Saccharomyces cerevisiae S288C: one gene and its partners. The gene in region 3 interacts genetically with the main gene of each other region. Each region holds a gene or a part of one and is shown on either strand. Other genes may lie near its edges. The genes, in order: JLP2, GAB1, ESS1 and CTH1.

Region 1 (7,643 bases), on a different chromosome or scaffold from region 3:
CGAAATTCCCGATGAGATGATAAATGAAATATTAATGCGGTTTGAGGGCTTCGATTCGTATTTTGTTTATCCAGATTTGATCAAATTTTTAAAGGATTTGAAGTCAAGACATCCTGATGTTATCTTAGGAATAGTAAGCAATACTGATCCAATTTTTTACAAATTATTAAAGAATATCGGATTATTTGAGACATTTTCCGGTCACATTTATTTATCATATGAGCTTAATCTCGCCAAACCTGATAGAGCAATATTTCAATATGCGCTTGACGATATTATATCTAAACAACCTCATTTACTCGAAAAGTACACCAGGGAGGAAATTCTACAGCATTGCTTTCACATCGGAGATGAATTAAAGAACGATCTCGAAGGGGCAGAAGCTGCCGGTTGGACTGGTATACTGTTAGATAGAAATGATAAATACGGGTTTCTTTCAAACTCGATTAGTAAACCAATGCGGGACGAATACAAGCTGTCAATTGATAAAATAGATAATAATTCAATAAACACTTGGGAAGCCAATACTAAGCAAACTGACACGTTACAGTTGAGTGAAAGAAAGTACGTTGTTTCGAATCTTGAGGTTTTAGAGGAACTCTTTCCCTGAGCGCCTAACGTTACAGTAACAAATATGTATGATAGATATTATTCATATCCGCCAGTAATATTTACTATATCTTTGAATGGGTTTGTTTATTAATAATCTACTATGTGTAAATATATGATCCAAGTATTATACAGTTTAGACACTGATTGTTTTCCAGACGTTCAAACCGTCAGTACCGGTACTTACTAAACAACCTGGGATTTGCTTATGCCATTTGACATCTTTAACTTCCTTTTGCCAGTGAACAAACAATAATTGTGGTGGAATTTCTTGTAGCTCTTTTGTTTCGGCGGCCTGTTGTTTAATTTCCTCATCGTCAGCTTCTACAGACAAATCCCACAAAGTCACAGTATTATCTTCTGAGCCTACCGCAACGATAGACTCATCTAATGGGTTGAATGCAATGGAAGTAATGGCTCCCTTATGGAAGTCATATTGAGCAACCGGTTGGACGGCGTCAGCATTACTTGGCGTAAACTGTCTTAAATCCCATACTCCCCATGTACCGTTATCGTCACCGCTTGCTAGCAAGTAACCAATTTTATCACTCCAACTTATGACATTTACGTCAGTATTAGAAGCTTTAACAGAGATAGCAGGTTTATGTTTTTTTGATCTTGTGTCCCAAATCCTTATATATCCATCACATCCTGCGGTTGCAAAAACGGTGGATTCAGTGCGAGACCACTGGATATCTTCTATGGATTTATTGTTTGAAACAGTAAATGGTTGTTTATCAGTCACCCATCTCGATGTGTGCCTTTGGGTAAAATATATTTGTCCTGAGCAATCACCTGATAGTAACGCACCAGTCTTGATCAATGGTGACCAATCCAACCCGTAGCCTTCAACATTCCCATGATTTTTTACAGTGTGAATAGGACGCTTAGCAGACTTCGGAATCTGATAACCTGGTGTGGAAAAAGCTTTGCTTTGTGGAGCTAGATTGTATATATAAACATCACCATTTTCGCTCATTGTAGCGGTTAACACCTCTTGATTAGAAATGGCAAAAGGAGAAACCTTTAATCTATTGGTTGTATCTCTCAATGGTATATTTTCATTCTCAATGACTGGATCCACATCATCTTCATCATCCTCTTCATCATCTTCACCTTCATTATCGTCTTTCAAAAGTGTTTTCGCTAAATTAGAAAGTGCTAGAACCATTAGTTCATTCTCCTTTTTCCTGGAAGATTGAGTAGCCGTGGTCAACAAAATAGACTGTGGATAGTTTCTACGTTCAGAACCTAGTGTATCTGGAATGACATCTAATGTCAAGCATGGCCATGGCATATTGACATTATGTAGCATTTCATAAACAGTGGGATCAGCCTCAAGGACTTCATCTGGCCCTAATGGACGAGACATATGGGGTAAGTAAAGCTCCTGGATCTTTTCTTTGTTGCCTTCGGATTGGTCCTTTTGTACTAAAGTTTCAGCTTCTTCTTGCTTTTTCCTAAGGTCATCTTCGTCATTAATCTCATCATCGCCATCAATTTCAATAATTTCACCATCACTATCAAATTCATCACTCAATTGTTCTTCTAGGTCATTCTTGGGAGCATCTTGCTCTTCAGAGGCGGGAATAGCAGGAACAGAGTGAGATTCTGTTTTAGCAGAGACCACTCTATCTTGTTCCTCGTTGACCTCGATAGACCTTTTCGACATTATGGTGCTATTTCCGTGTATATGAAAACGGAGAGTAGGTGATATAACTATTTACCTACAAATTCAAACAACTACAATCCCTATAAGAAATGATCATCTCATCGCTAAATTCAGTTGGATTTTATTTTCTGTATTTTTCGCTGAAAGGAAAAAAATTTTCACGGCTCGAACGAAAAAAGAAACGTGATCACGATGTAAGTACAAATGGTACTCTATTTTGAAGCGTCTACGTTATGTAGATGATATCATACTTCCAGTTGCATATCGTCAGTAACCTCATCTTTAGACTGTTTGTTCTTCTTCTTTTGGTTTTTTTTCGCTACTTTCCTTAGCTTTTCTTCTTCAATAAGATTTGATCTATTCGACTCAATATAGTTTACAAAAAAATCACCATTTTTGGTCTTCTTTGCTTCGTTAAGTGTAGCTTCCACATTATTAAATAGTTCTACCCTTGTCTTGGCCAGTCTGTTTAGTATTTTGTTATCTCGTGCTCCGCATTCCATTTTTCTACATTGTCTTAGAGACTTAAATGATACTTCACCGGGATTCATATACCTGTTTTTTCTCAAGTTATGCCATGGTGTTATCAAGATGGTGCATTGTGGCATTTTGTTTCCTTGAATGGATTCTGATTTACATAGCTGCAGACAGTCACATATCACTTCTTGCGGTATGTCATCGATTGTTTTTTCATTTGGGCGTAACTTTAAATAAACATGACCACTTGAGTACTTATCCGCGTGAAACCAAACATAGTTTAACTCCCTATAGCTCCATTTGATAAGTAGATCGTTTTCAAACTTATCTTTGCCCATCACAATTTGGTAAGGTGTTGAATACTCAGTTGGTTTTGATTCATAGAAATACACCATTGTTATTGAAAAGTTGAATTTCAATTGAGCCTTATAATTCTATTCGCTTACTTTCTAAATTTTAAGTATAAGGCAGTCCTCTGGTCTACAGAGTTGTTTTGTTTTTTTATCCAAGTTCTTTGTTTCAATCTTATTGTAGTTTTTTTCCATTAAAATATTAAAGCCTAGGATAATCTATATCCTAAACTAAATATAAATTAAGAGTATAAAAGATGAAAGTAAATAGCATCTAGCATTCAGAAAAAATAAGAAGTCTCTTTTCAAATGATTGATCGAGCACAACGAATGTTTTCAAACCACTGTTAATTTTTTTATAGATGTAATGACTACTTATATGTTCTACGATGTGATTTTGTAGGAATAAAATAAAATTCAGTTTACCGTCTGCATATTCATAAACACTTAAATGACTGTTAAAGTATTCAGTATTTTAAATAATAATAACATAAATTATTAATACATACTTAAATACGAAGCCCATTTTGGTGGGTTCCTGAAAGAATATCAACTTTTTTTTACTAATAGAGAATTTCGTTACAAGGTGGGCGGCTAACTTATAAAAAGCAAAGGAGAAGGTTTTAACATATCGTCAAGTTAAGTTTGAAAGAGAGAACTAAAATAAAAAAAAAGAGAAAAATGTACGAGTACTGCTCAGTTGTAATAAAGAAATACTCCAAGTATACAATTCCCTCCTTCGCTCCAAATGGTTTTCAATCAATGCTTGAGCCTCCTCAGATAGACAAGTGGCAACACCTTTCCGCTAACTGCACTCTCCAATTTCGGGTTCTTCTAATGGACTCTAGACAAATTCTGATCAATGTGGTTCTCAATAATTCAACACTTCTCGAAAATATTCGCCTGCCGCTGGGGGATAATCAAGATTTAATACAATTTTCATGTAAAAGCCCCATAATCTCTTGTAAATATATCTCCGAAGAATTCGGACCCAGAATGTTAAGGAGGTTTCAGATGAATTTGCCAAATGACGTTGAGTTCAACAGGACTGTAGTTTCTTTAAAGAACCTTAATTTTGTTTTAAGGACAGCTAGGACATCAATAGCCCAGAGTACAATAACAAGCCAGGTGCAAGGCAATAATAACGGTACAAAGGTCTGTTTCACAGAAGGTCCAAAAGTTAGTAGCTACACAAATCCGAACACGCAATTTCAAACTCAAAACATGATTATGGATTTCAGTCAACGTTATCAGGAAGAATCTGAAAGAGAGTCAAATAATCGTTCAAATATAACTTTACCACACGACAGCATTCAAATAGCTCAACAAATATGGCCAAACACGGATTTAAATGTAGTACAATCTTCACAAGACCTCAACACTCCAATGGCTACGCAAACTGTTTTGGGTCGTCCTGAGTCGCTAATTGTACAGCCATTGGAGGTTTCTCAATCTCCACCAAACACTACCAACTGCCTTCCTAATGCAGAAAACAAAAAGAAAAAAGTCGACACCACTTCTGATTTTACTTCAAGAAAGGAGATTGCTCTGTGTAAAACTGGTTTATTAGAAACTATTCATATACCAAAGGAAAGGGAAAGTCAGATGCAAAGCGTCACTGGTTTAGATGCAACACCAACGATTATATGGAGCCCCGGGAAAGACAACACGGCGAAGAAAAATACCAGTAATAAGAAAAATATTGATGATAAACTAACAAACCCCCAAAAATCTGGAAATACACATACCCCTGATAGAAATAAAGAAGTGCTACCTAACGGCACACTTAATGAAACGAGGAAAGAAGCATCGCCAAGCGAAGGATTAACGATAAGAGTTAAAAACGTTAATCGGAATGCGTCAAGAAAAATATCTAAGCGGCTAATCAAGGAAAAGTTGAAAGACGAAGAATTCATGAAATGGGTATGTATGCATTTGCAAGAAACTGAGCTGTTTCCCCCTCTTATCCACTCATTTTCTCTGACTTGACAAAGAAATACTAACTAACAACTTTTGCCACTACAAATATGAATGAAAAGGTTAATAAGGTTGAAACGGTTCTCAATAAAATGTTCGAAAAGTGAACCCTTTTTTTGCAATTCCTTTTTACACTAGCCACGAAGTAAAATGGAAAAGTAAACCCGAGTTTCGGCAATATCGCTAAGCAAGAAGAGCAAGCTCGTTTAAGTAAGCCTTTATGAAAAAAAAACAAAATATAAAGCATTATAAAAATTGAATCACATCGCAAATCTGCAATATACTTGGAAGTGTTTATAGCAAAGTGTGGTATAGAAAAAGAACCAAAGGCCGGTATGTCGTTAAAGGATAGGTATCTAAATCTCGAATTAAAATTAATAAATAAACTACAGGAGTTGCCATATGTTCATCAATTTATCCATGATCGAATAAGTGGTAGGATAACTCTCTTTTTGATAGTGGTTGGTACGCTTGCATTTTTTAACGAACTGTATATAACGATCGAAATGAGTCTTCTACAAAAGAACACATCAGAAGAACTAGAGCGTGGAAGAATCGATGAAAGTCTGAAGCTTCATCGGATGTTGGTGAGTGATGAATATCACGGTAAAGAATACAAAGACGAGAAAAGCGGTATTGTTATTGAAGAGTTCGAAGATCGCGATAAGTTTTTTGCAAAACCTGTGTTTGTATCAGAATTGGATGTCGAATGTAATGTTATTGTAGATGGGAAAGAACTTCTGTCCACCCCATTAAAATTTCATGTTGAATTTTCTCCAGAGGATTATGAAAATGAAAAAAGACCTGAGTTTGGTACTACCTTGCGTGTATTGAGGCTGAGACTTTACCACTACTTTAAAGATTGCGAAATATATCGCGATATAATTAAGAATGAGGGCGGTGAAGGGGCAAGAAAGTTTACGATTTCCAACGGTGTCAAAATTTACAATCATAAAGATGAACTACTGCCATTGAATATCGATGATGTTCAATTATGTTTCCTGAAGATTGATACGGGAAACACGATAAAATGCGAATTCATACTATGAAAGCTTCCAAAAAAAAAAAAGAAAAATCAATTGCTAAATGCATACATGCAGGTAGGCACACACACACACACACACACACACTCACTCACACATGCACACGCACACACACATATATAAATATATACGTACTATGTATGTCAGTTTTCGACCCTAGGAACCCCTATTTGGTTGTGATGAAGCTGATTTTCGCACCAACACCACAGTTTCATTATCTGCGTCAATCTTGGTTCATAGGGAAATTCGGAAGAGTAGTAATTATTGAATTCTAAACCTTTTTCCTTTCCATTTGAAGAGGAAAGCAATTCAGAAGTTTGATTCCAGTAATTTTTATTTTCTAAGTTATGAAAAGTTGTCGCCGCTGAACCTGTGCCAACATTTCCATCCCTTTGATTTAGCCAAACTGAATTAGCAGCAGCCGTGACCTCGTTGCTTGACATCTTTTCGTTGATAGGTTGGTCAGACGAAATGTGAGTTATTTTTGTACCATTTGAACCATTGACGAGATTGTTGTTATACACCGTGAAGTTCTGCGTAATTATTTTCTTGTCGGAATTTAACAAATCTGGAAATTTGGAATTATTATTGCTGATCTCAAATTGAATCCTTGGATGAATAAACTTCAGCAGCTTCTCATTAACCAGATCTGCTATCTTAGATCTTAGAGATATCGAGTACAGATTTTGTAACGATTTGGGCAGCTTAATGCTGCCGCTGTCCGCCGAATCTGACAAGGGGAAAAGCAGCAGAGTCATTGCTAATTCTAACTCTTGCATCTTTTTGACACTTGACGAAGCCTTTATTGCAAGTTTATTTTGAGAATACTGAATTAGATTGAGTATAAAGTCGTTGGAATCCTTGGTGATGTTCTCCTGTTGATGGTGACTTCTTATCATCTCGATCAAATTCAGTAACAGCAGTTTGAAGTGTAAATCTCCATCTATGTCAAACTGCTGCTGCTGCTGCTGCTGCTGCCTGTCAGTTCTACCCGTATAACTTCCCGTAGCATTGAAAGTCTCTTCCAGCACCTCCAGCCCGAAGATAGAGTTTATCTCCTCCATCGCCTCATTGATACGCCCCAGCTTAATAAGATGTTTGATATGGAAACGCTCCTTGATCTTGTACAAATCATTGAAAACCGCAATGTCTTTGTTGTTCCGTATAAATCCCAGCTCCTTGGCCATCCTAATGCTCGAGTCTTCATATGCCATAGAAACAAAGTAGTTCAACAGAAGCCGTGGCAGTGTGGGCTCTATGGGTGTGGTCTGTATGGTAGCAAATCCCTCGTCCTGCGAGCCGCCACTGCTGTTGGGCTGAATTTTCAGCGGATAATGTATTGTCTTATTTGCATATAGCTCGCCCATGGCAGAATACTTGGCCACCTGCTCCTTCCATTCTTCCTTCGTGAAGCACTTCTTTCCATACGTAAAGTCTTTCCCACCATTCTTGCCTTGGCCGCTGCAAGATCCGCTCTTCGTGGTCTCGTTACTAAGAGTAGATATAGTCATTTCT
Region 2 (7,996 bases), on a different chromosome or scaffold from region 3:
ATACTTTTAATTTCACAGGAGAAATTAAGATAAATAACTTGAAAAGTCCACTGAGATTGGTGAAAGTGTTTCATCCTCTTTTTCAGTTTCCCTTGAACGATAGGGTGGAGTGGGACAGGCGGGAGATATGTTTTCCTGTAACGGCTGCATCTCTGGTATATTTCCATCCCGATTATATGTTTTCATGGGGCTGGAAGTGAATAATGAATTCGTTCTTCTTATTGGAGACGGGGAAAGATCAATTTTCAAGGGCTTAATCTCATCGTTTTCTCTAGCTAGATTAGACATGGTTCTCCTAGATTTGGTGTATGATGGATGAATGTTTGAAGAATCTAGTAAATCCTCCAAAATCCTGTACTTCTCATTTGAGTAATTCAATGCTTCTTGTAATGATTGTAGCTTGCTTTCCAAGGCTTTTATTTTCTCATCTCTTTTCTTAATTTGCCGCTGTAGAAGAATTTCTCTATCTAAGTATAATGATTGATTTCTATCTTTTCCACTCGACCCGTCAGAACTACCACTTCTTAGTTCACTGATCCGTTGCTTATTGTATTTCAACTCCGATATCTTTCTCTTAAAGGCATCACTCCTTAGGATCCTAGATTTGGCTGTATCTGTGTCCATATAAGAAGGTCTTCCCTGGGATCTCTTCTTCAAAATTCTAGTCATGTCGCCACAAACATTTTGCATCTTGCTCATATTTTCATTATCATTGGAAAAAACATCTCTGATTGTCTGGAATATCTTTGTTAACCTTCGTTTGGGTGTTTTCCTCCTGTTAGTACGAATTTTTTCTTCAGTTTTCCTATCTGTCACCTTTCTAGGTCTTTTTAGAACGCTTTTACCCGTAGGACGCATCTGCTTTCTTCTGCTCCTTAAGGCAGATCGTTTTCTCACTTCATCAAGGGACCCGTATTCTCGTTTCCTGCCATCATCTCGTATTCCAAAAAAATCTTTCCACAGTCCCTGTACGGATTTTAGCATATTACCAATGTCTATTATTGTACCTTTCTCTTCAGAGTATCTACTTGTTCATGTTCAGCAATAATTTCATAATTGTTGATGCGCGCATCGTTTCTATACTATGACGCGTCACGAATTGTGCTAGAGTGGCCTCTAATGAAAGTATAAGAGGCGTTGGCGAAGGTCAAGGATAGACCATTGGCTGTTTCGGATGAGTTATTTTTAAAGTGTAAAGGTATAACATCAAATGAATGAAAATTAACATTGATCTCAGCTCTCAATTTCTTTCCTCATTTGTTTTCGATGTTTCTATATGAGTATACATTAAACAAGTAAATCTCAAGCTCTTGTCAAAACAGTTATTTCCAACATATCTATCTGCATTATTGGTAGCATAATTCTCAAAGGAAGCTAAAACATCCTTCTTAAAGACGTCTATTGGCAAACGATATGTTACGTATTCCGGGTAAAACAAATATTCCATTAAGTGAAATGACCTTTGTTTTCAAAACTAACCAGTTTTAGAACAGTAATTCATATAAACAACGTGATCTTATATGAAAAACTCACCAAAAGGAGACCAATGGATTCCACAGCACTTAAGGTAGCTCTAGGCTGTATTGCAATTCGTTTGGCTGTGAACAGCCTTTTTCCCTCTCTACAACAACAACTGGACCAGTCTGTAGAATTCTCAACTCCCGTAACTTCATTTAGGTCACTACAGGAAGGTATATACCTACTGCGGAACAACATCCAAGTATATAATCATGGGGTTGTTCACCATCCTCCAATTTTGATTTTTTTTCTTTCCCTCTTTAATTCCGACAGGTTAATTTCCCTCATATACGCTTTAATTGATGGATTAATTGCGTATCAGCTGACAGAGGTAACAAAGGCTTTCAAAAACTTGAAACTGAAAGTTTGGCTACCTGGACTTCTTTATGCCGTGAATCCTTTGACCCTTTTATCGTGCATTAGTCGGTCATCAATCATATTCACAAATTTTGCTATTTCATCGTCATTGTATTGCATATTAGCTGAAGGAAACGTTCTTTTGTCCTCTGTTATGATTTCTATATCTGGATATTTGTCAGTATACCCTATTCTCCTCTTAATTCCGCTATTAGGTATGCTGAAAAGTTGGAGGCAAAGAATATTATCTGCCATTGTTTCCATACTATCTTTATTAATTCTGCTATTATTCAGCTACAGTATATTAGGCAGCCAAAGTTGGTCATTTTTGACACAGGTTTATGGATCTATTATAACCTTTGAGAAGGTTTTTCCAAATCTGGGTTTGTGGTGGTACTTCTTCATTGAAATGTTTGACACCTTCATACCGTTCTTCAAGGCTGTATTCAACATTTTTATTGCAGTATTCATTACACCATTTACTTTGCGCTATCATAAGCAGCCATTCTACGCATTCATTTTATGCATTGGGTGGATTGTCCTTACAAAGCCATATCCCTCACTAGGTGACGCTGGTTTTTTCTTCAGCTTCCTACCTTTCTTCACGCCACTATTTGGATATTTAAGATACCCCATCATATCAGCATTACTGTTTTTACACGCAATTGTTTTGGCGCCAATTTTCTATCATCTTTGGGTTGTTTTAGGTTCAGGGAATAGTAATTTTTTCTATGCTATTTCCCTAGTTTATGCTCTGGCTATAGCATCTATATTAGTTGACTTGAACTGGGCGATGCTGAGAATTGAATACGATAACGGTATCCCAAATTTCAAATTGAAGGTAACACAAATTTAACTACTTCCCGTCTATAAACGTACATAAACTAGAATAAAAAGAACCATACAGATGTTCATCGTAAGAGTGGATAAAGCGAATATGAGAGCCATATTGGTTATTCCAGAGGCTATCTATTTTTTAAGAGAAACTGCTTGGTTAAAATTTGCATAATATTGTCTCGGAGAGAAAAGATAGAACTCAGAAGGACCTAATTAATCATGAGCGTTATAATACGAAGAATTGAGATAGAGTGTATGATCTGCGGATTAAGCTCCTACATAATAACAACATTGTACTTGGGACTATGCCAATTTCTTTCCCACCAAAAGTCGTATGAAAAAGGTTATCTTCGCTAGGGCTTCCATTAGGTGAAAGCCAATATATTATCATAGAATAGCACGGCATAAATATATATTTTGTGCTGTCTTTTTGGGAAGGGTAGTTTGACAACCCATGTACATTAACATAAAAAGAGCTTTATCATTAACGGACGAAGAAAGAATGTGTATCGCGTATTTTTAGACTATCGATAATCTTTTTTAAAGTTATGGTAGATAGAAGATGGAATCAGTTACGAAGTGATGAGTTCCCATACATTCCAGCCTGTTTACATTAGCTAATTTAAAAAAAAAAAACATAATTAGAATATTACGTGATGACTCAGTTTAAACGGTACTCTGTAACACATCATTTCTATTTGTTGTTCTAAAACAGGTTCTACATATTTGGATCTGCTGTGAGAATGACCTAAAAGGTAAAACTCTCTTTGTAATAATCCAAGGAAAGTGGGAGTTCCTTGGGGAAGCTCTATTGCAATATATTGTAGTTTCCATTCAGCCTGCTTATCGCCTTAGGAAAAAGGAATGTAAGAGGCAGAAAAGTGCGGCGCAATCGTTCGGACAGCGAGCCGCCATTATAGGTAAGAATACTTAAAGAGCTTCGCCGGATATTATTACAGTGTATTAAATTTCGCCAAGTCTTTGCCAATGGAAATGGGTGCATAAATTTATGTGCTTGGTACATATGAGTTCAATAGATATGTAGTAGTTGGATAGTAGATAGTTAGGATATATAATCATGGAAGGGTTACTCACAACGAATCACATAATGAGTTATGATTTTCACTGTGCTCATCTGTTGCCCCTACAAGGGGTGATCAATAACAAACAATTTCATTAAAAAAAAAAAAAAAACTAAGTCACTATAACTAAACGTAATAACTATGTATATGAAAGAAAATAATATCTGTTCGTCATCTAGTTTAATACGGCAACGAGTTTTTCACCAGAGTTCTTACCATATTTGATGTCTTTTAGGATATGAGGAACATCACAAAGCCCGTTCTTATAGACCCTTACTGGAATATGGCGAATTTGTCCATCATTAATCTTTGGATTGATGAATTTGATAAATTTTATTGCAGCTTTCCTAGCTTCTGAGTCGGCTGGTAAAGTAATGTTTCCAAATGGTACTTCATGGCCACCTATTGAATATAGCCTTATTATGTCAATAGTAACGTTTTGTCTCCTGTTCTCTTTTTTGACGTTTTCTTCTGTCAAATTTTTTAATTCAACAATTGTAGCATCCTGTTTATCGGCCGCACATTTGTACACTTGTTGAAGCGTATCTTGATTCGCGACACAGTCGACTAAATACGAGATATTGTTGTACTTGTGTTTAATTTGTTCTACCACGTCAATATCATGATAATCAAATAATTCATCAGCACCATATTCTTTCAAAAGTTTTTCGTGCTTCCGAGAAGCCACAACAATGATCTTGGTGAAGCCATTCAATTTATTGGCTAATTGGATGAGCGACTGACCTACTGCAGTTGCACCGCCCCATAATAAGATGGGGCCTTTTCTTTGTGGGGTTGATGGCTCCCACTTCAGGTCCAAGCCCAAGTTATAGGTCAACACCAAGCCGGCTGTGGTCAGTGACACTGGGATAGTGGCTACACCTTCCAAAGACCTGACAGGGCCGGCAGGTAGAACATCCTCACCCAAAAATTTGAGTTCATTGGGTGATTTGTAGGCAACCACAGTTGAAATAGCAGAATATTCAGCAAAAGCACCATTGGAAGGAAACCTTACGGAAGATCCGTGAATGAACCCATAAATATAATCACCGATAGAAAAGTCTTTAGGATTGACAGCTGGGCCCAATTTGACAATTTGGCCAGCAGCATCACATCCCAGAATAGATCCTTGAGGCCCGATCTTGTAGTCAATGTGTGCCCAATCAGTGGGGTTACCAGCAACAGCGAGTGTCTTAATCAATACGAATCCTTCTTCCAATTCAGGAATGGGAATGCCCTCTTTAACAACCGCTTTACCGTCTTCAATGACGACAGCCTTCATGGTTTCTGGAATTGCAACTTGCATGTTTGTAGGTTATCTGTAATTGTCGTTGATAATCTGTATTCAGCTTGCCATTTTATAGAATATGGTTAGAAAGATCTTAAGCTAGATAAAGAAAAAGAAAAAAATAGAAAAAAGCCTGCCCGCTTTATAAGAACTTTTCTCAATATCTGTTGAGGAACACTTAGTAATATCGTCTATCATGGTTGCTTTATTCTTAGTGATATTACTCTCTGGGATTCGATGTGTTCTCATCATCTGAAGGGTTTTCTATGTGTTGAAAGCCTATCCCACTAGACGGAGCCGCGCGTCAGCCGGGCGGATCCGAGACATCTTAGTCAGCTGAGACAAGAAAGGCACAGCTCTCGGACAGGAACTGCTGTCATATGAAAACCTAAAAATGTTTCCTGGAAATTCCATGACTGCGCAAAGTTTGATACGTTTATTGTTCTTCTCCACTACCGCACTTTCTATCTCGGAAACCTTTCAACTAAATGAACTATTGTTAATTGTATGGCGTGTGGCCTTTCTATTTCAGAAAATTTAGAGTAAAGTAAACTCCGTCGGACTAGTATAGTAATGAAACAAGCCATTGACTCTGCAGCATATTGCGACCAAAACCTGGAAATTGGTGGCTATGAGTTTTAATTTATAATTATATGAAAACAAAGCTTGGAATGCTGAGTACTTTTTCTTCAATGCTGCTCACTGCCCAGAAGCGTTCAGAACAACTCTACTGGAGCCATTCTGCTTGAAGGAGGATAAAAATGCCAAGATCAAGTCTTTTAAAGATTCTATCCCTTTTCATCGAAGAAGCACTACAAGTTTATTTTACAGAAGTTGACAAACTGTGGAACTTGATCCATACTGAATAAGTATGGAAAACTGTTAACTTAGAGGATGCTCTGCTTTCTAAAGAAGTTTCACAGCTTTAGACTCACATGGGTTCTCATGAGTATTGCTAGCTAGTGCGAGTTTGATCTATACTTCACAGACTTTTAACACCCCGTTCCTTAAGTTTTCCCTGATTATCAAGGGTATTTCCAATTCTTACTCCCCACTATCGCTCCTTTCTTATCTGAATTGTATTTTTGAGTGGCCTAATTGTAATCTTTTATTTTGTTTTCTAATTATTGAAGGCGGTTTCTCGAAGCATTTCACGATTTCCAAAATTCAAGAATTGAAATTATGAACATAGAAGACAAAATACTTTTTTTATCAACTATTAATACACCTTTCCTAGAGAACATTTTTAAAATAAAATAAAATAAAGTAGCGCTCTCTACTACCCTTACACTTTTCTCCTTCATATCTGGCTAGAAAAGAGGGATTACATCTCGGAATCAAATATTTCCCTCTGTGCAAAGTTTTAATACTGCTACTACGAACTGGTTACAATTTTATTTTTATCATACACGATACTTTGAACATCAACTTCTCTCAATACCATCCGCCTTCAGCGGCTACAATTACGTAATTGCACCAAGGCATTCGCCGAGAGTTCACAAATTGCAGACCCTAACAGTATACGACTCCCAACACACGTTTAATGTTGTACGAATTCAAGAGATAGAAATGCTTCTTCCGCGGAAGCCGTTTAAAGCACTGAAATTAGGCTTAGACAATAGACTTCTGTACGAGGGTCCAAATCTAAAATTCAGATATTCTTTTTGACCGAAAACGGAAATCACAGGCGCGCAAAAGGGTTTTTCAAGGTACCCCGGCATCCCTATAATAGGCATTCCCACATTCTGCGCATACGAATACACATGAGTGCCATAAAACAATACTCCACATACGAAGTCTATGAAAGATGTATGATTCGTTCAGAAACAAGAGCATTTCCATACTGATAATGAGATTGTGTGAAAGATGAGATATGGAGGATATGTGAGGTGCTAAATGAGCGTCTGTTAACGAATCGTTTAAATAGTGATGACTGATGAAGGCATGGGTATAAATAGAGCTGCTTCAACTGTATGCCTTTGAGAATATGTCTTTATTCCTTTCTTTCCTGTTAAGCTTATATCAGCACTAACAAACAAAACAAATACAATGGTCAAATTAACTTCAATCGCCGCTGGTGTCGCTGCCATCGCTGCTACTGCTTCCGCAACCACCACTATAGCTCAATCTGACGAAAGAGTCAACTTGGTTGAATTGGGTGTCTACGTCTCTGATATCAGAGCTCACTTGGCCCAATACTACATGTTCCAAGCCGCCCACCCAACTGAAACCTACCCAGTTGAAGTTGCTGAAGCCGTTTTCAACTACGGTGACTTCACCACCATGTTGACTGGTATTGCCCCAGACCAAGTGACCAGAATGATCACCGGTGTTCCATGGTACTCCAGCAGATTAAAGCCAGCTATCTCCAAGGCTCTATCCAAAGATGGTATCTACACTATCGCAAACTAGGGACGAGTGCCTCTACGAATGAAAATTCATAGACAGTAAAAAGTAATGAAAAATAAAATAAAAACTACTTTTTTTTGATGATATAAATACCGTAGATTATATAAATGTATATTAATATTATAAACCTATTTGATCAATGACAGTGTTCGTGAAGCATTTTATGAATACGATAAACATAAAAAGAAACTTTTACACTATTCTAGAAAAAGGGTGGATGGTAATAAAGCTAATAGAGTATGTCCAATAAACAATAATGAAATTGGAAGCGCATGACTTCTCAGCACTTTGTCTTTCCATAAAAATGAGTCGCTGCTTCTTTTTTCATTTTTTGGCGCGTCGCGTCGGGCCGTATAGAATATGCGTCACTTCTAAGAACAAGATTGCAGATCAGGGCAGTGCGAGTTACGGAGTCATGGTATCAAACTCTCATTTAGAGACCCTCATTTTTTGACACTGAAAATATCAAAATTTCTGGGTTGCGATAGTTTTTGTGTAACCGTAA
Region 3 (7,548 bases):
ATTCTCAATATTGCACCTTCTTTCTTCCCATTAGCGCTAAACAATAATGTTTATAGATATGGGTACATGATGCCCGTTCACAACGTCATCGATATCTACAGGGTTATTTTTTTTGACGTGACAAGACGCAAGATGGGTCGGAATTATGGTATTTTAGTCGCACTCATTGCCTTGAATACGGCACTGTTACCATTTGTTGGCAAGTATGCTAGTAGAAAACTAAAACAGAAGGCTTTAGTGGCAGCAAAGCAGAGTTAATTTCGTAGATTATAATTAAGGCGACTTTTCAAATAAAAAAATACTGATCGTTGTTTTTTTTTAAATAAATGTTTATCCATTCAATGGACTATAATAAATATTTATATATATATATATATGAAAAGATTGCGAACAAAAAAGATGATGGAAAAGGAGAATCTCTATATATATATTCATCGATTGGGGCCTATAATGCATCAAGCATCTAAAACACAACCGTTGGAAGCGTTGGAAACCAACTTAGCATACTTGGATAGAGTACCTCTTGTGTAACGAGGTGGAGGTGCAACCCAACTTTGTTTACGTTGAGCCATTTCCTTATCAGAGACTAATAGGTCAATCTTGTTATTATCAGCATCAATGATAATCTCATCGCCGTCTCTGACCAACCCGATAGGACCACCTTCAGCGGCTTCGGGAACAATGTGGCCGATTAAGAACCCGTGAGAACCACCAGAGAATCTACCATCAGTCAACAATGCAACATCTTTACCCAAACCGTAACCCATCAGAGCAGAGGAAGGCTTTAGCATTTCAGGCATACCTGGTGCACCTCTTGGACCTTCATATCTGATAACAACAACGGTTTTTTCACCCTTCTTGATTTCACCTCTTTCCAAGGCTTCAATAAAGGCACCTTCCTCTTCGAACACACGTGCTCTACCCTTGAAGTAAGTACCTTCCTTACCGGTAATTTTACCCACAGCTCCACCTGGTGCCAATGAACCGTACAGAATTTGCAAGTGACCGTTGGCCTTGATTGGGTGGGAGAGTGGCTTAATAATCTCTTGTCCTTCAGGTAGGCTTGGTGCTTTCTTTGCACGTTCTGCCAAAGTGTCACCGGTAACAGTCATTGTGTTACCGTGCAACATGTTGTTTTCATATAGATACTTAATCACAGATTGGGTACCACCAACGTTAATCAAATCGGCCATGACGTATTTACCAGAAGGTTTGAAGTCACCGATCAATGGTGTAGTATCACTGATTCTTTGGAAATCATCTGGTGACAACTTGACACCCGCAGAGTGAGCAACAGCCACCAAATGCAAAACAGCATTAGTGGACCCACCGGTTGCAACGACATAAGTAATGGCGTTTTCAAAAGCCTCTTTTGTGAGGATATCACGAGGTAAAATACCCAATTCCATTGTCTTCTTGATGTATTCACCAATGTTGTCACACTCAGCTAACTTCTCCTTGGAAACGGCTGGGAAGGAAGAGGAGTTTGGAATGGTCAAACCTAGCACTTCAGCGGCAGAAGCCATTGTGTTGGCAGTATACATACCACCACAAGAACCAGGACCTGGGCATGCATGTTCCACAACATCTTCTCTTTCTTCTTCAGTGAATTGCTTGGAAATATATTCACCGTAGGATTGGAACGCAGAGACGATATCGATGTTTTTAGAGATCTTCGAAGAACCACATGTTGGATGACCGGGCAAGATAGTACCACCATATACCATGATGGAAGGTCTGTTATGTCTACCCATGGCCATCATGACACCGGGCATGTTTTTGTCACATGATGGGATGGCGATGTTAGCATCGTAGTGTTGTGCCATCATGATGGTTTCAAAGGAGTCTGCAATGATTTCTCTACTTTGTAACGAGTATCTCATACCTTTAGTACCCATAGAGATACCGTCTGAAACACCGATGGTGTTGAACTGCATAGCTTTCAAACCCGCTTTTTCAATGGATTGAGAACATCTGTTATTCAAGTCCAATAGATGCATGTTACATGGGTTACCGGACCACCAACAGGAACCAACCCCGACTTGAGGCTTCTTGAAATCTTCCTTCTTGAAACCGGTGGCATAAAGCATGGCCTGGGACGCACCTTGGCCCTTAGGTTCAGTGATGATATACGAGTACTTGTTGAGCTTCTTTGCAACGCATCTCGTTGTAGAGAATTGTCTAGATGTAGCAACTTTCGTTAACAAGCCCATCTCTACTTTTTTCTTGGCTGTTTACAAAAAAATACAAGAATCCGTTACTAAAGATTACAGGCGCTACAATGCATAATAAAACTTCAGTCTCTTCTTTTGTTACATTATATAATATACTACTATATTACTGAGTCATCTGGAGAGGAAAAGAGAAAATTTTTTTTCAGGCCCGGTTCCGCTCGCAGCGAAGAACAGCGCCATTTAACTATGTGACTAGTTAATTTTTTTTCTTTTCATGGGTTCAGCGAGGACGGAATGGATACAAGAGGGAATAAGAACATAAAAAGGTGAGGTGGAGAAGCAAATGCCAACCTAACCTACCCGCTTGATCACATGAACACCGCTTCCTGATTCAACGATATCGCTTACCTCGCCGACCTTGAGCTGGAAGGCAGCGTCTTCAAAGCTAGGCTGCATCTCGCCTCTCCCGAACCAGCCGAGGTCGCCGCCTCGCTTGTATGAAGAGCAATCTGATCTCTCTTTAGCCAGGGCCTCGAAGGAGTTCGTCTTAGAGTCGTCATCCAACCTCGTGATTAAGGTTTTCAGTTCGTCCGTAGCGTCTTGCTTGGATATCGTAATGTTCTCGGATCTATGCGATGCGGGTCTTCTTGAATCCTTGTGCTTGATGAGAATGTGCAGGCATCTTACACGCACTGGATGGTCTCTTAAGTGCTTGTGTAGCTGGTCCTTGTTGGTGCCCTCAGGCTCCTCCCATTGCGAGTGCTTCGTCTCTGGATTGAAAAAATACTCTCTTTTCTTGGACTTACTATACCTGACGGTCCACGGGGTTGGCAGCCCGGTCCTCGATGCTACGTCAGATGGCATTGGTGCGTCGTTGTGGTGCCGTAGTCGGTTATGCGTGGGAATAAGTACCACAATGATCATTCAGGTCCTTTTTCTACTTAGATCGAAGGGAAAAAGGTATGATACCCGCTCGTGAAAGGTGATGTAATAATAAATAGGATATTATTATATAATATAAGAATATATATGTATGTGTTTATACGTGGGAGGGAATTGTCCTCAGAACTTGGCTCGAATGTCTCGTTCTGACCCGTAGACAACGTAGCCCTCCTGAGAGACGCTTGCCATGATGCGTCCCGACTGTGTGTCGAAATACTTGCCCTGTACGAGGTGCTTGTCCCAGTGGGACCTGGGATTCGAAATCTTAAGATAGATCCAATTGTTCACATGAGGCAACTGGTGAAAGTAAATCGTGTGGTCGAGCGAGACACTGAAACTGTGGCAGTACAAAGGCAGGTTGTGGAAGTACGGGATCGTGAGTAGGAGGTAGGAATCGGACAGATACGCAAAGGCCACGTAGTTGTAGCGAGCGTCGTTCTCAGGAGTAATGCTCTTCGGGATCCTGTACGGATGATGCTTGTGTAAAGAAGACTCGTCGCCCGCGTGCTCCACGGTAGTGATGGGAGGTCTCACTTTGACGAAATAATCCAGCTCGTCGGTGTGTCTTGCCGAGTAGAACATGTCCTTGGGGAATTGGTACTCCATGACTCCGTATTGAAACGCATCCACATACTTGCTCATCGAGGTTGCGTCTTGGAACCTGTCGGACAATGAGGCATACCTGCTCAATTTCTGTGGGTCCAGAACTTCTTTCTGGAAAAGCGAAGTGGCCTCTTCATAACGATGAGGGTCTGGCTGCTTACCTTGCAGGCCTGGAATCGTCTCCCAGTGCTGCAAGGAGTCGTGCTCCTTGGACCGTTGCACGGCAAATAAGATCATCGACGTAAATATCAACTTGTCGTGCTGATAAGCACTAACCTGCTTATGGATGAAATTTCTACCGTTTCTCAGATTCTGCACATGGTACGTGATCTTGGTCCGCGGATCACCACCCTTGATGAAATACGAATGTAGCGATGTGGGGAAGAAGTTCAATGGCACAGTATGCAATGACGCCAGCAGCGATTGTGATACCAGCGTTCCACCAAAAGTGCCCTTAGACCCTACGGGCGCGGCAGGCAGATACTTTGTGACAAAACTGGTAGGCGAAAGAGGAACCAGTTCCAATATTTTCTCTAGGTTGGACATGGCCATTTTGGAAGCACTCATTTTTATGCAATCTTGTCTTATCTTGTCTTGCTCATGGTGGATACTGAATTGAAACCCTTTTCTGGTTTATATCCAACTGGCGTGGTTTTTCATTGTAGGATGAGGCTCGGTGTTTATGCCGTCTCTTCCGAGGATGCAATCAAAGGCTCTCTCCTTTGTTGGGGTAGTAGCAAGTCCAATAAGCAACGCTTGTTTGTTGATTGGGCCGATTTACATAGCCTATACACTGCTGTTACATATGCCTGTGTAGAATGAAAAAGCAGGACGCCCGTTTCACAGCTCAGATTCCAGAGTGTCGGGTCTTAGTTCCTCCCAGGGAATAATGGTCCTGGCCGCACGCTTCAGCCGATGGCTAGCGTCATCATTGTCTTCGCTATTGTGGTTTTGGCTGGTGGATAGGGTTGGGGAGCTGGATCTTCTGCGTTTCATGGACCTTGTGACCATCATTCTTGGTGGCGGCACGGACTTCTTACGCTGCTTATCGTGGGCTTCGTCCATATCGTGCAGGAGTGTGGTGCCATTCAGAGACACATCCGGGCGATCGTAGGCGTGATCTGCCTTTTCTCGAAACGCCATCTCTAGAGCAGTCTGGCGGGTTTGTAGACTGTGCATGTCTTTGGATAGAGACAGGAGCACTTTATGCACGTCCTCCAGTTGGCTGCCGACGTTGAAGAGCATCTCCTGGGTGCACCTCATCGACTTTTCCGTCTCATGCTGCTTGTTAGTTACGTGTCGCGTTATCTTGGAATTATACCTGCTTATTTCTTCGACTAATACCTGCCTGTAGCTGGAATCCGACTTTGTCTTCTTCTCGTCGCCTTTCGATAACATTGCTGTTGACACTTTGTCCAGTTGGTTTTCAATCTGGGAAGCCAAATCCTTTATTAAGGTTTTCACGTTTCCTATACTACAGTTGTTAGTAAATGTGTTTTGGAAGAAAATGAATAAAAAACTTGAGGGTATGCACTGTGTTGGTACGAACCGTTCGTAGCAGCATCTTGTTCCAGTAGCTGGTTAAACTTGTTTAGCGATTTACATAATGTCTTAGAATTTTCATTTAAAACTTTAATTAGCTTGTCAGAGTTTTCCCTCAGCTCCATACTCTCCAATTCCAGTTTACCTGCCCATTCCAGTATCTGCTTGTCCGATTCCTCTAAAGCGCCTGCATTCGCTACTTTCCCACTGTGGGAGAATATAGATCTGAACGGTGATGATGTTTCTGTAATCATCAACGAGTGTTCAGAATTAGCCTCTGAAACATCTGTAGATATCTCGTCTGTTCTACCTCTAGCGACCATTTTACTAAATGTTTCTACACGTCTGCAGTATCCTTGTTTTGCTTGTTTTCCTTCTTTCTGTTCTTGTTGATTTTCCCTTTAAGTCCTGAAAATACTATCATGGCGTAAAGGGAAAAAAAAAAACTAATCTTACGTGGTTCTTATAAGATGGACCAGCAAGCTGCATACAGTACACCATACAAGAAGAACACACTATCGTGCACCATGTCAGCCACCTTGAAAGACTACTTAAATAAAAGAGTTGTTATAATCAAAGTTGACGGCGAATGCCTCATAGCAAGCCTAAACGGCTTCGACAAAAATACTAATCTATTCATAACCAATGTTTTCAACCGCATAAGCAAGGAATTCATCTGCAAGGCACAGTTACTTCGAGGCAGCGAGATTGCTCTTGTTGGCCTCATAGATGCAGAAAATGATGACAGTCTAGCTCCTATAGACGAAAAGAAGGTCCCAATGCTAAAGGACACCAAGAATAAAATCGAAAATGAGCATGTAATATGGGAAAAAGTGTACGAATCAAAGACAAAATAATATAGTTGCAATAATAGTAATAATAATAATAATAATAATAATAATAATAATAATAATAATAATAATACCATGTATAGAAGTATATAAATCATACAATAAATTTAAGCATTAACCCGTCACGGACTGGCCATCTTCAGATGCTTCTTCTCTTCGCCAATGCCACAGTCGGGAGGAATCCCCATTTGGTACATCTTTATGGCCAGCTCCATCAAATAATCGATGGCTTCGTTGAAAATTTTGGCCTTATCGATTGTCGGACCCCAAACAAAAATGCCATGTCTCCTCACAATTACGGCGCATGTGTCTGGATAATCTTTAAAAGTCTTGTGCAAGTCATCGATCAACTCGTCCTCATGCGCCATGTTTTCAATGATGGGAATCTTCAGCGTATCAAAAAACGATAGCGCCATGGGTTTCTTGGTCACAGGGTCCACCTTTCCGCTTGGAATTGCTTTGATTTGTTCGATGTTAGCAATCCTGAACTCATCGCCAAATAGCAAGGAGCATATCACAGCATTTTGGGAGTGTGTATGTATTATAGCACCTGCATTTTTCTTTTGGTAGCACGCTAAGAACAATGGAGTACATGCGCTTGGCTTGTAAAGCTTGGGAGAGCGCAAATACTCTAATGTCTGAGCGTCCATGACAAACAAATCCTCAGGTATCATCTTCTCCTTCTGCACCCCAGATGGGGCGAGATAATAATAATTCGTGTTAGGATCTTTTATTGAAATCCCACCTCCAGTTCCGGTGCACCAATTATTATGAAAAAACTGCTTGCATAGCGTGCAAATGAGATTTGCTGGATGGCACGGATCATCTGAATGTATCAGAACATCTTGTGAAGACATAGTCGTTCACTGGCTCCCCTTGTTAGTTCAGTGCTTAAAAACGTTACATATCTTGATGAACAGCTAGCTGCTTTGATCAAGAGAAAAAAAAAAAAAATTGGCACCGCATCTTAGTGCCGCAATCTTACGTAACAAGAGAGCTATAAAAGTACAACTAACAACTCTTCTAATACTTAATTAGATTGAGGGCGTGCGTAGTTTAACGTCTTGCAATGGAAACATGTCCTCTTTTCGACATCATTTTCAAAATCTAAAATGGCTTCTTTCACTTGGGTACCTAAGTCTAACATTTGCAGTTCACTCTCGTGGACCACTTGGCGACAATGAGAACAGTACCACCTTATCTTATCGTTTTCTCCCCCAGGCCTATCTTGTTCCACAACAATACCCACAGTATCAGCAAACCGAACAGGACTGTGAGGAACATTTCCTGGCAATAAATATGAATCGCCTTCATTGATGATGATATCAATGAACTTTGGTTCAGCGTCTGTCTCATCCACAACCTTTAAAAGCATAGATCCTTTTTTTTGATAGAACCATTCGGGAGTTGGATTGATGTGATAACCGGTTCTTTCA
Region 4 (7,863 bases), on a different chromosome or scaffold from region 3:
TGGTGACTTCACTGCTGGTAACGGTACCGGCGGTAAGTCTATCTACGGTGGCAAATTCCCAGATGAAAACTTCAAGAAGCACCACGACAGACCAGGTTTGTTGTCCATGGCCAACGCCGGTCCAAACACCAACGGTTCTCAATTCTTCATCACCACCGTTCCATGCCCATGGTTGGACGGTAAGCATGTTGTCTTTGGTGAAGTTGTTGACGGTTACGACATCGTTAAGAAGGTTGAGTCCTTGGGTTCTCCTTCCGGTGCCACCAAGGCTAGAATTGTTGTTGCCAAGTCCGGTGAATTATAACCGCTCTGCCTGGAACAATACAGCAAAAATTGAAACGAACTATTCTCTCTTAAATTATATGTATATGTATAAGGTATGTGTATGTATGACAATCAATTCTTATAACTAACTCTTCCTACCTATATCGGAGTATGTTGCCAGGCTTGCCAACTAGCCAACTACCGCCTAGGTTATGCCTGTTAAGTTGACGCCGCCGGGTACCGCCCCCTGTTTTTCCCACGTTTCTTTCTTTCCTCTAGGTAACGGATTTTCGGCTTATTTTCCACAGCGAGAAAATTTTCTTTCTCCTGCACTTTTTTTCATATTCAGGTCCTTTGATCCATTCATTCATTCTTGTTTTAATTTCAATCTAGATTTTAGTTTTCGGTTGAATTTATCTTTAGTTTTTTATCAATAAGAATTGGTCTAGCTTATCTTTCCAGGCTGCTTATAGTTTACTTTTTTTAAAAAATTATATTTCTATCCAATATACAAATCGGAAGGGAAATTCATATACACAAATTAAACGTTCCAATTGCATAAATACCAACACCATACAAAATGGACTCATTATCAAAAAAGATTCAAAATTTAGGTATCCATGATATTAGAAATGCCGCAAGGTTTGCCCAAAACGTGATAGTCCAATATGAGCCTTATCAGATAGATATCCGTCGTGCTACAAATACCGATGCTTGGGGCCCCACACCGAAGCACCTCGCCAAGGTTTTAAGGAACAGATACCAAGTGCCGCTCTACTTGATGACAGAATACACGTTGAAAAGATTAGTCGACCATATCGCTACCAGGCCCAAGAACCTATACGAAAAGGCAAGAAAGGACTACGTTAATTATGGGTCCGAATGGAGGGTGGTCTTAAAATGTCTAGTAGTCATTGAATTCCTATTATTGAACGTCGACACAGGTGACGAACTGAATCAGATTAGATCATGTTTGCTCACTCATAAGCATATTTTAACCAGGGAGATTGCCCAATTCAAGGTAAAATTCTCCAATGATGGTAAAATGGAGATTCATGAGAGAGGTATTAGGAAAAAGGGAGAACTTATCTTGCAATACTTGGAAGACTCACAATTTTTGAAAAAGGAAAGAGCCAAGAATAAGAAGAATGCCTTGAAAATTCGACAGCAAGGAGAATCCTCCATTTATAATGCCAACCAGATTTCAACGTCTGCAAGTTACGATAACATCGACGACGATGAATTTGATGCAGATGCAGATGGCTTTGACAGTGAAATGGATGCTAATAATGTGACCAACTTCAATGTTCCTGTGGAAACAGAAGCAAATTCGAATACTCGCAGGCGTTCTCATATGGAAGAACAAAGAAGACAAAGAAGGGAGATATTAAGAGAGCAGATCAAAAATAAAGAACAGCAGAGGAAAAGAAAGCAACAACAAGATAGCATCCCTGACTTAATCGATCTTGACGATAGTACTAGCACCACGAATAATATAACAATAGACAATGGTAATAATGACAACAAAAACAATAATATCAACAGCAATAGTGATGATGATGATGATGAGTTTGGCGACTTCCAAAGCGAAACGAGTCCCGACACAACAGCACCTAAAACTTCCAATAGTAAAATAGATGATTTGCTTGACTGGGATGGCCCAAAGTCAGACACAGATACCACCGCTGCTGCGCAAACATCATTGCCCTTTGCGGAGAAAAAACAGCAAAAAGCCCGTCCTCAGGCTACAAAGGACAAGTCGAAGGGAAATGATGCATTTTCCGACTTATTCTCTTACTCCAAGTCGTTGGTCTAATCACCAAATACCCCTTCATCTCCCAATACATTCAATACAGTCAACAAATTTTCATTCTCAGATATATGTATCCATATATACACTAATAATATCTTACTAAAAACTTGTCTATTTCCTTCTTCAAATGTCAGTTTTCTTTTTATTGAATATCAAAAAAATATTATATAGATACATTTGTATATGTCATTATCCATGCAGAAGAAAATACTTAAATACTTAAGTACACAAGTATTTATTGATTTGCTATTTCGGTCTTGGCAAGTCCCTTGGCTACGTCATCTACACTCGCGTCATCCTCTTCCATATACTCGTCGCCTGTGCCCACCACGCCTTGTTCAAACATTTGCTTACCGGTTAGCTTCCCATGATGAGCCTTCATCCTTCTCACCTGGTCTCTTTCATCCAGTTTCAGTTCTTGGCGAAATTTAGACCTCCATTCCAAGTACGATTCTCTTGTGACTTTAGTACCATGGAACTTGGCCTGTTCCTTCTTTTCACGTTCTTGTGCTTCCAGCTCGTACTGCTTCTCGAGCTTATTCAATTGTTCACTATACCATTGCTCACATCTTTCTTTTATGGATGAAATCAATGCAAAACACATTTGCATACCCAATAACATATCGGTTTCGATTTGCGATTCTAATTGTACGGTTAATTCAGGCAAGTACCCCTTAAAGCTTATTAAATCTGGCAGGTTTTCAAACTTTTTCAGTACTTTATTACCATGGTCGTCATATTCAACCTCGTCTTCATCTTCCTCGTTATCTTCTTCGTTGTCATTGAGGGCTACTTCTTGAGCTTCCAATGAAATCAGGCATGGTTCGTCAGGGTAGTTTTCTGGTAACTTGAATTCGGCGATTATAGTGTGCTCTTTGGTTAAAACAGAAGTAGAATCACCTGTATCCAGCTCTAATTTAATGGCTACTTCAAATTTAATCTTTGGGTATTCATCGTTTATGATCCTCAGTTCATCAGGATAAATGGACTCTAAAACTTCTAGTTCCTGCTTCTGTTCTTCCTTATAATCCATAGTATTAACAAGTGCCTTCTGGATATGGAGGGAGGGCTTTTCCTTAAATTATACCAACCGACAGCATGGGAAACTCAGCTCTTTAAAGCCAATCTAACGATGCCTGCTGATTTTACAATTGGAAAATAGAAAATTTTCATTTTCCACCTTCTGTTACCCGAGTTTATAGACCTAGGATTTCCAATCATTACTTATTAGGACATTCGGGAAAAATATACATATATGGCCCACTTCTCTCACATCTCTTTTAGGGTCTGTGCCAATGGCACCCAAATTTTTCTTCTTTCTTTTTCGCTCGTATTCTCTCACGCTCTTGATCAGTGTGAGCAGTTACTAATATACTGGATCAGAGAACATTAACTCAAAGGTTGATAGTGTAGATCATTGGACATAGTGTGACGGTTTTGCACTCTTGTTGCGCTTGCTCTCTTAACAAGTCACATCTTATTTAGCCTCTTCACCCATAAGTTGATTGTAAAGCCGTAGAACCCTATATCACAGTCTCTTCGGCAACTCAACCAATAAGAACTATTAAGGATTAACACTAGCCATGATGCCGAATGTTGCTCCAAACAGCTACTATTTAAACATACCGAATGCCAATTCGACCTCAACGACTACGTCCTCGATCTTTTCTGATCTCAACAAGGAGTACGAGTCAAAGATTAAAGAAATCGAAGAATATTATATAAAGACACTGCTCAATGAAAATACCGATAATGATGACAGCAGCAGCTCCGAGGGGCATAATATAAATGAAACGGACATTTTAAGTGAATACTCACCAAGGCCTTCTCCTTGGTTACCATCCAAACCAAACTGTTATCATCCGTTGGGAGATTTTAAAGACTTGATCATATCAGATTCCAGACCTACAAATACATTACCTATTAATAACCCTTTCGCAGGCAATAATAACATCTCAACACTTGCTACAACTGAGAAAAAACGTAAGAAAAGGTCACTCGAAGTTGAGATTAACCCTACTTACACGACAAGTGCATTTTCATTACCCCTGACAGCGGAGAATTTACAAAAACTATCTCAGGTGGATTCTCAGTCTACTGGACTTCCATACACACTTCCAATTCAGAAAACAACAAAACTGGAACCTTGTAGAAGGGCACCTTTGCAGCTTCCTCAATTAGTCAATAAGACCTTATACAAAACTGAGCTCTGTGAATCTTTTACTATTAAAGGCTATTGTAAGTATGGAAATAAATGCCAATTTGCTCATGGTCTTAATGAACTGAAATTCAAGAAAAAATCAAACAATTATAGAACTAAACCTTGCATAAATTGGTCGAAGTTAGGCTACTGTCCGTACGGTAAGCGTTGCTGTTTCAAACACGGTGATGATAAGGACGTTGAAATATATCAAAATGCTAACGATGGAAGAAGTAAGGATACGGCGTTGACTCCACTTCCTACTTCCCTAGCCCCAAGCAACAACGATAATATCACTAATTTGAGTAAGCCTAGGAACTTACATACTAGTGTTAAAGCATTGCAAAGGATGACTTGGTAGTCGGTCAACAACAAAGCCCTTTGAATATTTGGCGTATTTCTGCTGCCTCTCCTTATTTATTTATTCATTATCGTTTTCATATTTATTTCAGTCACAAAACAAAATTAAAGAATTCGTGACCTACTAACATGAGAATTAGTTAATTTAATCTTTTTAGTTTATTTATTTCATTAGGTAGAATTTTTTTTTCTTTCTCTGATCTTTCAGTGTTACTCATCGGTGGCAAACGTGTTTACAGGACTAAAAATCGAAATAATGATTATTATTGTTCTTAATTTACTTAGAGTTATTTAGTTTTTTTAACTATCGTAAATTGCCAAATGATCGGCTTTGTGGTACTCTATGTCTTAGAGACCTTGTAGATACGGACCTTCTCGATGCGCTAAGTCTTTTACTGGAGCTCTTTGTATTTTCGCCGGGCAATGGGAAAATCTTTCCTGAATACATATTATCTGTTGGATCATCAGCGATGTCCTCTAAACTTATCCCTTGCATGTTCCTTTGAAGTAAATAACGTAATGAATTATACCAAATATTGTGTCTTTGCCTTGTAGGACAAGTAAACTTAATAGTCCTAGTTTCTGTGGTAACAACAATACTTTTGTGATACAATCCTGTTGGATATGGGTTTGGGTCTGTGACACTTTCTACTCCTAGAATGGCAACACCTTTTGTTTTGGTATTGGCAGGATTCTCTAGGATGGGATTAGAAGCGGACCAGTACAAAGTTAAGGTATATGGATGAACCCAGAAGAATCTTTCATGACGTGATTCGAATCCAAAAGGTCCCAAGCGTGGATAATACTTAAACAAATATTCCCCAATGACGGTTTGGGTTAACGCGGGTATTATGCTTGGTTCGTTCAATGATGCTAAAGTTTGTAAAGATGCCGTCCTACTGGCAGATCCTGCACGTGACATAAATGATGCTACTATATCTCGTCTAGATGCTGGCGTATTCCTCGATGAATGTGTGGTTTTTGAGGTTGAATTAGAATTCAGACTCTGTTGACGTTTATGGTGCTTATGATGATTAGTACGATGAGACTGCTCTTCTATTTGTGGATGACTTTCGGAATCTTCATAAGCAGTTGTTGCTGCTGCTTCTGCAAGTCCCTTTTTTGCTCCAGACTTTGTGGACACAGTAGATGTTTTATTGTTTAGCTTATGCGACACATACTCATGTTTGGATGCCGTGGCTTGACCTTTCTTATCTTCCTTTGTTGTTAGTGCAATCTGGAGCCCACGCTTTTTAACTTCCGCTTGTAATTCTTCATTACTAACACAGTTCCATTTCATGTCTTCAGGTGACATTAGATTATGGTAATAGGACGCGGAAAGCACAACTATATCGCTCATATCTTGAGCACTTGCATATGATGCACCCACAAAATTACTTTCAGGAATACACAACATACCATATTTCATAGCTTGAGTTTTAATAATGTCTACATCATTTTTGATTTCTTGGCTTTCATCTACAAAGCTATCAGATATATCGTCACCATAAACCGCCTCATTTTGACTCATTATATTATCATCTCTTGATAACAGTGTTTTCTCCCTACTAGTCAAAATCAAATTACGATCGCCAGCGGGTTTCTTGAGTTGCCTTACTGTGAATGTTGGATCATCCGGCCCATATTCGACTTCTTCGTTGTCCATATCATTGTGGGGAACGGTGTTTTGGAAGGCACCTTCTTGCGCTGTGTTTGTGGTTTTTGCTGCTAAGTTTTGATTTTCTGACAAGGGATTATTCATTTCTTCCATGCCACCATTCAGATTAACCGCGTTATCTTTTAGTATATGATATTCTTCAAATTCCTGATCAGAAATGAGGGTCATACCATATTTTTCTGCTTTTCTAGATAAGTGATCAAGATCTATGCTACTGGCAACGCTAGTGTCATCGTTGTCCTTCGAAAATAATGGAGCTTCAATGTTTTTCAGATTGATATTTGATTTTTCGAACGGAACTAATTTGTAGCCTAATTTTTCAGCAGAATTCTTGATGTTTTCATAGGCGGGAATGAAAATGGTAGCATCTTTCACTGTGGATGATTTCGAGATTATGTCAGTATAATCTTCATTATTCTGCAATTCGACACGATTAAGCTCTTCGATATTATCATCTAGTGCATCTGTAAACATGCTCGATGTTGTGGTCGAGTTACTGCTGGTCGTATTTATTGATTGTTCATCAATGCGCTCTGCACGCTCAGCTCCAGAAAGTTTGTTGGGTTTTTGGAGGCATAATTCCATACCGAATTGGTGGGCATATACTTTCAAATCTTCATAAGTAATGGGAGGGCAGGGACTTGTAGTGTTTACCAGTTGTTGGTATTCTATGTTTTCTACTATGATGCTATCAAAAATGGCGGCCTTTTCTTTCAAAACATCTAGGCTAGGACGATCTATTTGATCCCGCAGTTCAGAATATTCCTTTTCTGAAATGATAATTAGCCCTTGCTCCTTGGCTTTCATTGTCAAAAATTCAGAATCTGGTTCAGATAATAGTTTCTCGTTTCTTTTATGCGTAGATTCATTAACTAGTATTTTCCCCATTGATAGCGCCTTAGTGGATAAGAAATCGATAGTTGGTTTCTCAATCGAGCGTGACATGGTCGCAAAATCATCCTTGTCTACCAAGACTTTATTTAATAAAGATGCCTTTTCGGAGAGGTGGATCACTGTCGGATGTTCTGATACTGCTAAAATGTTTTTATAGTCATCTTCTTTTATTAAAATATGATTATTCAAAACGGCTTTCTCTTTTAAGTAGCTCAAGCTGGGATTTCTATAATTTGTAACCATTAAATTGTACTCAGACAGAGGCACTACAATGTGGTCGATTTTCTCTGAAGAAATTTTCAAATAATCCAGTTGTGGCTTTTCGTATTTAGCAACCATCAATTCATAATCTTGTCTAGAGATTGCGACGTAATCCATTTTGTTCAAAGAATCCTTTAGATAATCAAAGTTTGGATTCTCATACTTTCCAATTAAATCTTGGTAGATAGTATTAGGAATTGCAATGTAGTTTAGTTTGCTCAAGGTGTTAATTAAGTCTTCAACATTTCGATTTTCCAAAGGTTCTCTTAGAGTTGAGTACTCGTTTTGGTCGAGCAAAACCAAGTTCAAGTGATGACAGGATTCCTCTAGCTCCATCCGAGTGGGATGATTGCATTTTCTTATAGTTTCATCATACTCGATTTGGTCAACAAG

The links.
Region 1: mutations in ESS1 (region 3) and JLP2 impair growth when combined (synthetic growth defect), as found in Saccharomyces cerevisiae (2 studies listed by BioGRID, with this or other methods).
Region 2: mutations in ESS1 (region 3) and GAB1 together harm fitness more than expected from each alone (negative genetic interaction), as found in Saccharomyces cerevisiae (2 studies listed by BioGRID).
Region 4: of ESS1 (region 3) and CTH1, extra expression of one rescues a mutant of the other (dosage rescue), as found in Saccharomyces cerevisiae (2 studies listed by BioGRID).

What each region holds. Positions count from the first base shown.
Region 1 is NC_001145.3:532,418-540,060, forward strand, and holds JLP2 (Jlp2p), read right to left. Parts: upstream 3,154-7,643; coding exon 2,527-3,153; downstream 1-2,526. Other genes in the region: DPI35 (Dpi35p), read left to right, coding at 1-610; ribosome biosynthesis protein RRB1, read right to left, coding at 746-2,281; REC114 (Rec114p), read left to right, coding at 3,790-5,031, 5,148-5,192; ERG29 (Erg29p), read left to right, coding at 5,421-6,134; glucose-induced degradation complex subunit GID8, read right to left, coding at 6,272-7,639.
Region 2 is NC_001144.5:1,055,788-1,063,783, forward strand, and holds GAB1 (GPI-anchor transamidase subunit GAB1), read left to right. Parts: upstream 1-1,546; coding exon 1,547-2,731; downstream 2,732-7,996. Other genes in the region: NBP1 (Nbp1p), read right to left, coding at 25-984; YLR460C (uncharacterized protein), read right to left, coding at 3,970-5,100; seripauperin PAU4, read left to right, coding at 7,132-7,494. UniProt on the Saccharomyces cerevisiae protein: Component of the GPI transamidase complex. May be involved in the recognition of either the GPI attachment signal or the lipid portion of GPI.
Region 3 is NC_001142.9:463,996-471,543, forward strand, and holds ESS1 (peptidylprolyl isomerase ESS1), read right to left. Parts: upstream 3,039-7,548; coding exon 2,526-3,038; downstream 1-2,525. Other genes in the region: YJR015W (uncharacterized protein), read left to right, coding at 1-258; dihydroxy-acid dehydratase ILV3, read right to left, coding at 456-2,213; TES1 (palmitoyl-CoA hydrolase), read right to left, coding at 3,237-4,286; REC107 (Rec107p), read right to left, coding at 4,560-5,188, 5,269-5,584; U4/U6-U5 snRNP complex subunit LSM8, read left to right, coding at 5,789-6,118; methylthioribulose 1-phosphate dehydratase MDE1, read right to left, coding at 6,235-6,969; BNA1 (3-hydroxyanthranilate 3,4-dioxygenase), read right to left, coding at 7,143-7,548. UniProt on the Saccharomyces cerevisiae protein: Essential PPIase specific for phosphoserine and phosphothreonine N-terminal to the proline residue.
Region 4 is NC_001136.10:760,953-768,815, reverse strand, and holds CTH1 (putative mRNA-binding protein CTH1), read left to right. Parts: upstream 1-3,660; coding exon 3,661-4,638; downstream 4,639-7,863. Other genes in the region: peptidylprolyl isomerase CPR1, read left to right, coding at 1-304; ENT5 (Ent5p), read left to right, coding at 845-2,080; GIR2 (Gir2p), read right to left, coding at 2,313-3,110; NUM1 (Num1p), read right to left, coding at 4,942-7,863. UniProt on the Saccharomyces cerevisiae protein: Binds to specific AU-rich elements (ARE) in the 3'-untranslated region of target mRNAs and promotes their degradation. In response to iron deficiency, promotes the decay of many mRNAs encoding proteins involved in iron-dependent pathways.